Linked DNA regions of Ovis aries. The protein of the gene in region 3 purifies or fractionates together with the protein of the main gene of each other region. This does not show direct contact. Links are inferred from orthologs where the notes say so. Each region holds a gene or a part of one and is shown on either strand. Other genes may lie near its edges.

Region 1 (4,142 bases), on a different chromosome or scaffold from region 3:
TTCTGGGATTGTGAAGTGAACGTGTAAATCGCTCAGTTGTGTCTGACTCTGCGATCCCATAGGCAGTAGCCCGCCAAGCTCCTCTGTCTGTGGAATTCTCCAGGCCAGAATACTGGAGTGGGTTGTCATTCCCTTCTCCAGGGGATCTTCCTGACCAAGGGATCCAACCCAGGTCTTCTGCATTACAGGCAAATTCTTTCCCATCTGAGTCACCAGGGAAGCTTGTATTTGGAGTGATTTATTTATTTATTTATTCAGTTCAGTTCAGTTGCTCAGTTGTGTCCGACTCTTTGCGACCCCATGAATCGCAGCAAGCCAGGCCTCCCTGTCCATCACCATCTCCCGGAGTTCACTCAGACTCACATCCATCGAGTCAGTGATGCCATCCAGCCATTTCATCCTCTGTTGTCCCCTTCTCTTCCTGCCCCCAATCCCTCCCAGCATCAGAGTCTTTTCCAATGAGTCAACTCTTTGCATGAGGTGGCCAAAGTACTGGAGTTTCAGCTCTAGCATCATTCCTTCCAAAGAAATCCCAGGGCTTATCTCCTTGCAGTCCAAGGGACTCTCAAGAGTCTTCTCCAACACCACAGTTCAAAAGCATCCATTCTTCGGTGCTCAGCCTTCTTCACAGTCCAACTCTCACATCCATACATGACCACTGGAAAAACCATAGCCTTGACTAGAAGGACCTTAGTCAGCAAAGTAATGTCTCTGCTTTTGAATATCCTATCTAGGTTGGTCATAACTTTTCTTCCAAGGAGTAAGCGTCTTTTAATTTCATGGCTGCAGTCACCATCTGCAGTGATCTTGGAGCCCAAAAAAATAAAGTCTGACACTGTTTCCACTGTTTCCCATCTATTTCCCATGAAGTGATGGGACCAGATGCCATGATCTTCGTTTTCTGAATGTTGAGCTTTAAGCCAACTTTTTCACTCTCCACTTTCACTTTCATCAAGAGGCTTTTGAGTTCCTCTTCACTTTCTGCCATAAGGGTGGTATCATCTGCATATCTGAGGTTATTGATATTTCTCCCGGCAATCTTGATTCCAGCTTCTGTTTCTTCCAGTCCCGCGTTTCTCATGATGTACTCTGCATAGAAGTTAAATAAGCAGGGTGACAGTATACAGTCTTGACGTACTCCTTTTCCTATTTGGAACCAGTCTGTTGTTCCGTGTCCAGTTCTGTTGCTTCCTGACGTGCATACAGATTTCTCAAGAAGCAGGTCAGGTGGTCTGGTATTCCCATCTCTTTCAGAATTTTTCACAGTTTATTGTGATCCACAGAGTCAAAGGCTTTGGCATAGTCAATAAAGCAGAAATAGAAGTTTTTCTGGAACTCTCTTGCTTTTTCCATGATCCATCGGATGTTGGCAATTTTTTAACCTTCCTCTTTACACATTTTTCTATTGTCTTGCTATTCTTAAAAAACAATTCCTTCACAAACATACACACACAGACCTAAATCCCACTGACACCATCACCACCAAAACTGCCCACTTTAAGGGCCAAGCTGTCAACAGCCTCCAGTGAGCCCTGAGACCTGAAGCAAGTCATTGTCCCCTAGGGACTTAAGTTCTCCAGGCTGTGAAACAATCCATCAGGTCAACTAGGCTAGCCCAGACCTCCTCCCAAGAGGAAAACTCCAAGAAACCAGGGGCATCATGAAAGGGACACACTTTACACTGTACACCGTGACACCGAAGCTCCTGACTGTAGGGTATATAGTCAGGCAGGATCTCTTCCTTGCTCTGCAAAGACTCTCAAGGAAGGCACATCCATCTCCACTTGACAGATGAGACAAGGCTCACAGAAGCTGAGAGGTGTCTCTCAAACCCCAAGTTCCAGTCTCACACCCTCCTCACATACTACATCAACAGCAGTGGTTTAAACAGCATCTATTCACTGGTGTAATAACTACCTGTGGAAGCCGACACGTCAGGCACTACGTTAGGCACTGGGGGGACTCGGGGTGCTGTGTGTATAAGTCCCAGGTAGGCACTCTGCAAGAACGGTAGGCTTGCAAGCATCAAACCCCACCTCGTGCCTCTAACCTCTCCACAAAGGCAGGGGCTGCAGCAAATCCGGACATTGACGGATCATCTACTATGTGCCAAGCCCTGGCTCCTGTAATACTCACAAGAATCCTCTGAGTTCGGTAGGTTCTATTATTATCCTCTTTTGACAGACCAGGCACAAAGGGGTTCAGTAACTGTCAGCAAGCTACACGTGCAGTTGGTGGCAAACCTGGATTCACAACGCAGCTACTCCCGGCCCTAAAGCCCCGCGCTCTCAACCATTATGCCCTAAGGGCCTCCTCCTTGGGGATCGAGCTCCCCAAGACTCAAAGAAGGCAAGCGCCTCGATCCCAACATGCAGCAAGCCTGCACAACGCAGTCCGGTGGGGGAACCAACCAACCATCCCGGCTGGAACCCCCTCTGCGGGGTTCCCGGCACCGACTTTTCCATTTTAAAATCCGGAGGAACTGGTCATTCTAACTCCAGGACTTCTTCTATTTCCCCCAGAGCACGAATGAAACTTGAATGCACTTCTTTCTTCCATGCGTTTAAGCCAAAGGAAAGACTCTCTAAAGGTGGAAACGCAGGCAACGGACACAGTGCGCCCACCCTACCCCATTCCACCCCCCGCCCCAGAGCCTGAGCTCCAGCCTCCCAGGTCGGACCTCTGAGCCACCGCCCCTCACCTCTCAGCCAGCGCCCGCCAACGGTTTCAACCCGCCCGGAGAGGAGCACGTGGAATCGCGGCTTCCCGCAAGGCTTAATAACCTGCACCTCCCTCCAGGGCTTCCGCGCGCAGAATTCGCTTCAGAGGCGCCCCGCGACCACACCTCCTGGCGGAAGTGAGGCAACCGGAAGTCAGAGGGCGGGTGCCGCCGGCCCAATGCTGTGGGAGGGGCGGTGTTGTCGCGATGCTTCCGCTGCCGGCTGAGCCCGGCCAGGAGCGCTGAAGGCGGCGGTGGCGGCTGCAGGTGAAGAAGAGGCGACGGGGCGGGAAGCGGTCTCTGAGGGTAAGGTGGGGATTGCTGACTGGTAGGCCGGCCTCGCGAGAGTGTGCGGGGCTAAGGGCGATGGAAACGGCACGGAACCCCGGGCCGGGCGCCCGAAGGGCCGGGCCGGGCAGGTCAGGGCAGGGACCGGCCGCCGCCCCGCGCCGTGAGGGGCCGTGGAGCTGCTGCCGTGGCCGTGAGGTGCTTCTGCTAGGAGACGCGACGACCAGGCCGGGCTCCGGAACGCGTCCTTCACGGCGTGTGCAGCACCTTCGGCCTGGACGCCGCACCCGCTTTCCCCTCCCGGCCGCGCGGGGCACCGCCCGCGGGAGCCGCGGGTCCTGTCTCCTCGCCCCGGCTCCCTCCATCGCCGTGTAAAGTTGAGAGAGTTAGCGCTGAAGACCCCAGAGCTCCTAAAGCCCAGCCCAGTCCCGTGGCCGTGCGACCTCTCCGTGCCTCGGATCCGCGTCTGTAAACGTGTGTTACACTGCCGTGCTTAACTCGATAAGGTTATTGTAGGATTTCCTGCAAAGCACTCAGTAGAGTGCTTATCTGCTCCTCTCAACCCTTAAGGGGCTTCCCTGGTAGCTCAGTTGGTCGAGAATCCGCCTGCAATGCAGGAGACCCGGGTTCAATTTCCTGGGATCGAGAAGATCCGCTGGAGAAAGGGATAGGCTACCGCACTCCAGTATTCTCGGGCTTCCCTGGTGACTCAGCTGGTGAAGAAGCCGCCTGCAACCTTCACTTGGGTAGACCTGGGTTCGATCCCTGGGTTGGGAAGATCCCCTGGAGAAGGGAAAGGCTGTCCACTCCAGTATTCTGGCCTGGGAAATTCCATGGACTCTACAGTCCTTGGGGTCGCGAAGAGTCAGACGCGACTGGGCAACTTTCAGTTTCACGTTGGGGCTTCCCTGGTGGCTCAGATGGTAAAGAGTCTGCCCGCAATGCTAAGGAGTTTGCCAGAAATGTGGGAGCCCTGACTTAAGCTTCTATAGCTCAGTTGGTAAAGAATCCACCTGCAGTGCAGGAGACCCCTGTTGGATTCTTGGGTCGGGAAGATCCACTGGAGAAGAGAAAGGCTACCCATTCCAGTATTCTTGGGCTTCCTGGTGGCTCAGCTGGTAAGAATCCACCTGCA
Region 2 (4,084 bases), on a different chromosome or scaffold from region 3:
TTCATCTTGCTTTTTCAAATTAAAATTCATTTTATATACTATTTCATGTTAGAACATAAAAAGTTTCCTTCTTTCTTGAAACATGTTTCTTTCAGTTTCTAAGATATATACAATTTAAGTCTTCTTCCTAATTCTCTGGCTCCACCTCAAACCACATTACAGGTTTTTCTACTCACATCTTAAATGCTGGCGTTCCTTAAAATTATTTTCTGGGTTCTCTTATTTTCATGTTACACAGTCTCCATGGTGATTTTACTCATGTCAAAGGCTTTGATTAGCATCTATATAGTAATAATTTGCAAAACTGTTCTCTCTAACCCAGGTCTTTCACTTGAACATTATACCTATACCCAACTCCCTAAGAGACTTAATTTAGATGTTCAATGTGTAAGAAGAAAGACATTTTTTGCTTTTATTTTTAAAATATAATACCTAACATATCATGCTTTTTAAATTCTTCTGAAATTTAGATAGATCTTTAAACGTATCTAACTCAAGCAAGGCCTGTTTTTTTTTTTTTTTTTTTTTAAACAAGTGAAGTACCTGGAGATTAAGTGACAGATGAAGGCCACACCACTAGTAAGAAACAAAATCATGAGAAAAGCTCAGGTATCCTGACTTCTAGTCCCATGCCCTTTTATACATCACAATAGCATGGCTGCCAATGGATCAAATTAAACAGGTCAGGGTAAGAGAATGAGATGTGCACAGGAAGAAAGAAAAGTCAGATATAGTCAAATATTAATACCCTGAAAGTACAAGTTCTGCTGTAGCCAAATGGGTCTGACTCAGAATGATCATATTCCTTAACTGTTTTGAGTACTTGGGAGTTTTTGAACAGGGTGACAAAAGAATAACCTTGACAATTACAGCTCAATTTCATTCCAAGTGAAAAGAAAGCCAGAAGTTTAGAAAACTAAGTGATACTTGGCAACACTGTGAAGAATGCATTAGAGAAAAGCAATACTGTTTCCTTAGCTAACTGCCAGTGACACGGGAAAGTGGTAGCATTGGAATGCCCAAAAGTTATTTACGGTTTTTTTCTTAGTCTGTTTCCCAAATATGCACTGAAAATCTTCAGATCTGCTTTCTAAACAAACTAAAAGCAGAAGCTGGGTCTCTTTCACCATGAATACTGCATTAAAATGTTTTCTCATAGTGACTGAAACATACAGGACTACGATCCTTCCCTAGGAGTGACGACTAAAAGGCAAAGTTATTGCATGAAGAATATTTTAGAACAAATCAATAGAAACTGGAACACAGGAATGTTTTCAGTTACCTGGTCGTTTCTCCTTTGGGTCCTCCAACAGAACGGGTTTCTTAGACACAGCATCTTTTACAGCTTGCCTTAGTTTCCTCTGCTCTTTACGGTACTTCTTGAGAGTGCTTTGTTGTTTAAACTGTTTGTTTTTTAGCTTGTTTTCAAGTTTGACTTTACTAGTTTTCAACAACTTCCGAAAGCTTGGAACCTGTTTTTTATTTCTTCTCTAGAAAACAACAGAAGGGGCACTGAATACCCAGAAAAATAAATGACTTTATTTTTAAAATCAGGTTAAAAAGAATTGATTATTTCATTAGGCCAATTCCACAATTTTAATGTCTCACAGTCACGGGTCTTGCGGATAAGAGTTAAAACCATACTATGGCATTAATCCTACAGAACAGCGCCAGATCAGTTGTTCAACGGGAGGTTCTCACAGTGAGCAGAAATCACAGCGGTTCAAAAGGGTCTAAGACTCAAAAACATGTGAAAAACCACTGAATTACTGGTAAATGGTTATTCAAGGCTAGTTTAACACTTGTAGTTTGGCATACTAAGATTAAAATGTTGGCTGTCTTTAGCAATAACAAGTGACATTTACATATTGCTTAACTGTTTACAAAGTGCTCTAACATATCACCGCCAACAGCCTAGATGTAGTGACTGCTGTTATATTACTGATGAAGCTACAGCTTAAAGAGATCAAGACAAAGACCCTTAAAAGTAAGGAAAACAAAACTGAACTCGCATGTGGATTACAATTTGCTTTTCTATATCCTCACCTTTAGGAAGAAAACAAACAAACAAACAAAAAGACTTAGGTCCCAAGACTCATAAACTTATTGAAAGCAGGACCGTTTCTCGTCTGTAAAATAACGGGTTCAAAAGATGGTCTTGAAGAACTCTTCAAGTCTGACACCTTATGAACTCAAGACTTCGTGCTAATGCCATTGCGGCCCGCTGAAGCCAAGCGTGCTCAGTGGGTGAAAAAGAAGGAGCCAGGTCTAAGGGAGAGGAAGCTGACAGCGCGGAGAGCCAGGAGGGAGCCCTGCTGCTGCTGCTGCTGCTGCTGCTGCTGCTGAGTCGCTTCAGTCGTGTCCGACTCTGTGCGACCCCTTGGACTGCAGCCCACCAGGCTCCCCCGTCCCTGGGATTCTCCAGGCAAGAACACTGGAGTGGGTTGCCATTTCCTTCTCCAATGCATGAAAGTGAAAACGGAAAGTGAGGTCGCTCAGTCGTGCCCGACTCTCAGCGACCCCATGGACTGCAGCCCACCAGGCTCCCCCGTCCTTGGGATTCTCCAGGCACGAGGACTGGAGTGGGGCGCCATCGCCTTCTCCAAGTAGAGAGCCCAGGGAGCCCCTGATCTAGGCCACTGCCGCCGCACCCCATACAACGGCAGCGACTCTGTGACCCAAAAGGGTTCTAAGCCGCGGGGACCAGGCTTCTGAGGACACTTACGGCCTTCATCCTTAAGTGTGCAGGGTACCCCGGCTAGACAAATTCACCAGTGACAGCGGTAATCCAGGAATCCCGAACCCGCAAACACACGTGCGAAATCAGCAACACTGAACCAGCCGGAAACTGCCGCGAGTCCCTCCCCATCCTCCGCCGCCGGATATAGGGGCGGGATTTCCGTAGACGGGGGCTGTCGTGCGCCCTCTCGCGGCCCTAGGCCGACGGCGCCCCGGCTTGTATGCGCATGGCAGCGCACGGCACTATGAATCACCAAAGGTGGGTAATCAGCGGTCTCTCTCCAGGGTCTCTGAATCTTTGACTCCTGCCCAATTTCCTTGCAGTTCTTCAGGAAATCGGGCTTTTCTTCTCAGAACGAGAGGATCTGACTTTTTCAACCATCCTGTATTTTGTGCCCCTCCTCATGTTTAGCTTGTTATAAGATATAGCTCGTGTACTCTTTTTTTTTTTTATAAATACTGATTTTTGTGGGACAGAGAAGAGCTTATTTCATTTGTGAAATACCTGCCCCTTGACAGCTTCTCTGGGCGAGTTTGTGGAATGGCTAATGATTTCTCATGAGTTCCAACACTCAAAAGTCTATGATTCTTAATGTTTTATTTTGAAACCCTTTTTGCCTTAATTTAACCACTGCTTGATAAACAGTTATATCAGTGAGATTCATCTGCATTTCAGTTTTTTATAACTATAGCTTTTCTGTAAATTCTACTGTCTCCTTAGTAATCCCTCCAAAGTCATTAGTTTTAACAGGAAGATTTATGCATTGCAAGAATAACTACGTTTTTCAAAATGATTGTCTTTAAAGATTTTTTTTTTTCATGAATAAATTGAAGAATTCTGCTTTAGTTTTTTTTCCTTGTTTTTGTTTTTAAAGTCTACAATTCTGAGAACATCCTGACAGTCTGGCCTAGCAGTCCTGAGCTAGAGAGGAAAGGCCAATAGAACCTCCAAAGAATCTGAGCTCCCTTGTAGGTGCTGGTCTTTTAGAGACTGAGAAGAAACCTTTCAGTTTCTGGATCCCACTTTAGAGACCAAGAATCCCATTCTATCCAGAACTCTTCTTTCCCTCTCTTCCAACTTCCTCAATTTCCCCACTGCTCTCCTTTACACACATTCTCAGAGACGGCAGAACCTGTCCCACTGGAGTATTACTTCATCAAACAAATTGAAAACATTAGCCTGTCCTCTTCCCAAGAGTCTGAATTCCTCAAACATAATAATTTATCTGTGGTCACTCCCATCCTTTCAGCCTCTTTCTTGTCCAGTCTCTCCAAGGATGAGGCATCTCCACTGCCGTTTGAAACGAACTTCTCCCAGGTTCATCACATTCCATGTATCACTAAC
Region 3 (3,648 bases):
GAACTGTCCATCAGTGGAGCAGTCAGAACATTGATAACATTTATTAAAGAATTCCCCGTCTTATACAAGCGTGCAGTTCATGGCACTCCAAAATGATTTCAATAGTAACATCAAAGATCACTAACCCCAGATCAAAATGACAAATACAAGAATTCAAGAAAAAGCTTGAAATATTAGGAGAATTGCCAAATATGACACAGACACTCAACGTGAAAAATGTTTTGGGAAAACGACTCCAGGAGACTTACTCTACACAGGATTGCTACAAATCCTTTATTTGTACAACAAACCAAAGAAAAAGCAAATATCTATGATGCACAAGACAGTGAAGTATAATAAAGCAAAGTATGCCATTAGTAGCCTTTGTTAGTATTCAAAGAATCCATTCCACATGAATGTGTGAGTTTGACAAAAATCATGGAATTTGTCCCATAGGACCAATCACCTCTGTTGTTGACCAACATGTGTATCTCACCAAAGGCAGGTAACTTTGTGTTCTGAAAGGCTCAGAGGCATCCTTGATCATTTATTAATAGATCTGAAATGGGCAAGTAACTACCCTCTGAGATAAAAGATATTTCCTCCATTTTATAGATGTTGAATCAGAAGTTTTTAGTATTTAAGTTATTAGTCAACTAGCAAATCATAGAACCAGTATTCAAAATAAATTTGCCTTAAAAAGTCAAAATTTAATAATTAATCCACCTGATCTTAAAATTCAAACAACTTTATAATATTCAGCTTAGATATAGATTTTGATAGACTTTCTGAAGTTTCTCTCTTTAATATGATTAAAAATACCCTTAAATGAAAACTAATAGATGTTAATGAAAGAAACTGAAGATGACACAAACAGATAGAAAGATATACCATGTTCCTGGATTAGAAGAATCAATATTGTTCAAATGACTATACTACCTAAGGCAATGTACAGATTTAATGCACTCCCTATCAAATTACCAGTAGCATTTTTTACAGAACTCCAAAAAGTTTGTAATTTGCATAAAACTACAACAGACCACAAATAGCCAAAATGATCTTGAGAAATAAAAATGGAGCTGGACAAATCATGTTCCCTGACTACAGACAATATTACAAAGCTATAGTCATCAGAATAGTATGGTACTGCCACACACACACAAAAAAAGACATATAGATCAATGGCACAGGCTAGAGAGCCCAGAAAGAAGCCTACGCATTTATGGCCAATTAGTTGATGACAAACGAGGCAAAAATATACAATGGAGAAAAGACAGTCTCTTCAGTAAGTGGTGATGGGAAAACTTGATAGGTATGTCTAAAAGAATCAAACCAGGACATTCTCTAACACCATTAAAAATTAAACTCAGGATGGATTAAGGACTTAAATGTAAGTCTGGATACACTAAAACTCCTATCAGAAATATAGGCAGAACAATCTTTGAAGTAAGTTGAAGCAATATTTTTTGGATCAGCCCCCTAGAGTAATGGAAATAAAAACAAAAATAACCAAATTGGACCTAATCAAACGTAAAAGATTTTGCATAGCAAAGGAAACCATAAATAAAACAAAAAGACAACCCACAGACTGGGAGAAAGTGTTTGCAATGGATGCTAAAAACAGGGATTAATTTACAAAATATACAAAGAGCTCATACAGCTTAATATCAAAACTCAAACCCAATCAAGACATGGGCAGAGGACTAAATAAGCATTTCTCTAAAGCAGACATATAGATGGAATACAGACTCATGAAAAGATGCTCAATATTGCTTATCATTGGAAAAATGAAAATCAAAAATACAATGACTGTCACCTCACACCAGTCAGAATGGCAATCACTAAAAAGTCTTAAAGTAACAAATGCTGAAGATGATGTGGAGAAAGTGAAACCCTCTTACACTGTTGGTGTGAACATAAATTGGTGCATCCACTCTGGAGAACAGTATGGAGGTTCCTTAAAAAACTAAAAATAGAGTTACCATATTATCCTACAATCACTCTCCTGGGCAAATATCTGGAGAAAACTAATTTGAGGAGATACATGCAGCCCAATGTTCATAGCAGCACTATTTACAGTACCAAGACATGTACGTAACCTATACGCCCATTGACAGATGAATGAATATAGAAGATCGGGGGTAACAATGGAATGCTACTTAGCCATAAAAAGAATAAAATAATGCCATTTTCAGTAACATGGATGAACCTAGTGATTTTCATACTGAATGAAGTAAGTCAGACAAAGGACGAATATCATATGATATTACTTACATGTGGATTCTAAAAAAGAAAAAAAAAAAAGAAAGAAAGAAAGAAAGAAAGATATAAATGAACTTACCAAACAGGAAAAGACTGACAGACACAGAAACAAATTTATGGTTACCAAAGGGGATAGTGTTGGGGGGAGGGGAAATAAATTAAGAGTTTAGGATTAACATATACACATTACAATATATAAAATAGGTAAGTAACAAGGACCTACTGTATAGCTCAGAGAATTATACTTGATTTCTTATAATAACCTACAATGGGAAAGATTCTGAAATGAATATATATACACGTGTATGTGTGAATACAATATATAAATATGTGTGTGTGTGTGTGTGTGTAAGTGAATCCCTTTGCTGTACACTTTAACCTACATTTTAAAATATCCTTAAAAAAAAAAAAAAAGAATGATGAAAAGGGACTTCACACACACTAAATGACAAGGATTAGTTATTTCACCTGATGGACTCTCTGTGTAATAGCAGCAGTATAGTTTTCTTAAAGACTTCTACTTTGGAACAATGATGACCCACCAGAAGCTCTCACCTTGATGTAACTATGAATTACAGATCTCAGCTGCCTCTTAGCCCCGCGTTCTGCCAATTCAAAGCACACGAGTGTAAGTCTGTCACCCTCTTCACAGTTGATACTGGTTAGTCGCTGTCCATAAACCACGACTTCCATCACTCCTGTATCATCTCGTATTTCATAATATATTAATTCACTACATGCCCATTTCTGCAAAAGAAAATCAGCATTCATCTTTTGAGGACTGGATCAGGAATTACCACAACTTTGAAAAATGGAGTGTTAGTGGAAACTCTTCTCTCAGAACAGTGAATATGAGCTAGAGGTCCAAGTATTACAGGTATCAAATAGTGTAAGATATCTTGTTCAGTTTATCCTCCCATTTAAATTCTCTTTTCTTCCTTTAGGTGTTTGTGTGCTGGGTCATTCTAGAAAAAGGGATTACTTCCCTAATTTTTCCTGCTTCCATCTAAGAATAGCTGAGATTTCTTGAGGAACTTAGATGTGGTGTGGTCTGATAAGCATCAGAGGCTTTTTTGGATTTCCCTAGCTTCCCTGGTGGCTCAGATGGTAAAGCATCTGCCTGCAATGTGGGAGACCCGGGTTCGATTCCTGGGTCAGGAAGATCCCCTGGAGAAGGAAATAGCAGTGCACTCCAGCACTCTTGCCTGGAGAATCCCATGGATGGAGGAGCCTGATAGGCTACAGTTCATGGGGGTCGCAATAAGTCGGACATGACTGAGTGACTTCACCATGAAGAACAGAGAAGAAAGGCTATTCCTGTCTTATGATGAATCTAAAAGAGATTGCTACAAATCCTCCTTAAGTTGATTGTTACTTCAATATGTAATTCTTTCCTCTATCTTCTGT

What was found.
Region 1: the proteins of interferon-activable protein 203 (region 3) and LYAR purify together in Homo sapiens (affinity purification with mass spectrometry; 3 studies listed by BioGRID and IntAct, with this or other methods). This does not show direct contact. The link is inferred for Ovis aries from reciprocal best matches to the Homo sapiens genes IFI16 and LYAR.
Region 2: the proteins of interferon-activable protein 203 (region 3) and NOC3L purify together in Homo sapiens (affinity purification with mass spectrometry; 3 studies listed by BioGRID and IntAct, with this or other methods). This does not show direct contact. The link is inferred for Ovis aries from reciprocal best matches to the Homo sapiens genes IFI16 and NOC3L.

The regions. Positions count from the first base shown.
Region 1 is NC_056059.1:105,492,996-105,497,137, reverse strand, and holds the start of LYAR (cell growth-regulating nucleolar protein), read right to left. Parts: upstream 2,851-4,142; 5' UTR 2,702-2,850; intron 1-2,701. UniProt on the Homo sapiens protein: Plays a role in the maintenance of the appropriate processing of 47S/45S pre-rRNA to 32S/30S pre-rRNAs and their subsequent processing to produce 18S and 28S rRNAs. Also acts at the level of transcription regulation.
Region 2 is NC_056075.1:15,450,928-15,455,011, forward strand, and holds the start of NOC3L (nucleolar complex protein 3 homolog), read right to left. Parts: upstream 2,851-4,084; 5' UTR 2,735-2,850; coding exon 2,726-2,734; intron 1,491-2,725; coding exon 1,283-1,490; intron 1-1,282. UniProt on the Homo sapiens protein: May be required for adipogenesis.
Region 3 is NC_056054.1:109,945,112-109,948,759, forward strand, and holds the end of interferon-activable protein 203, read right to left. Parts: intron 2,989-3,648; coding exon 2,749-2,988; 3' UTR 249-2,748; downstream 1-248.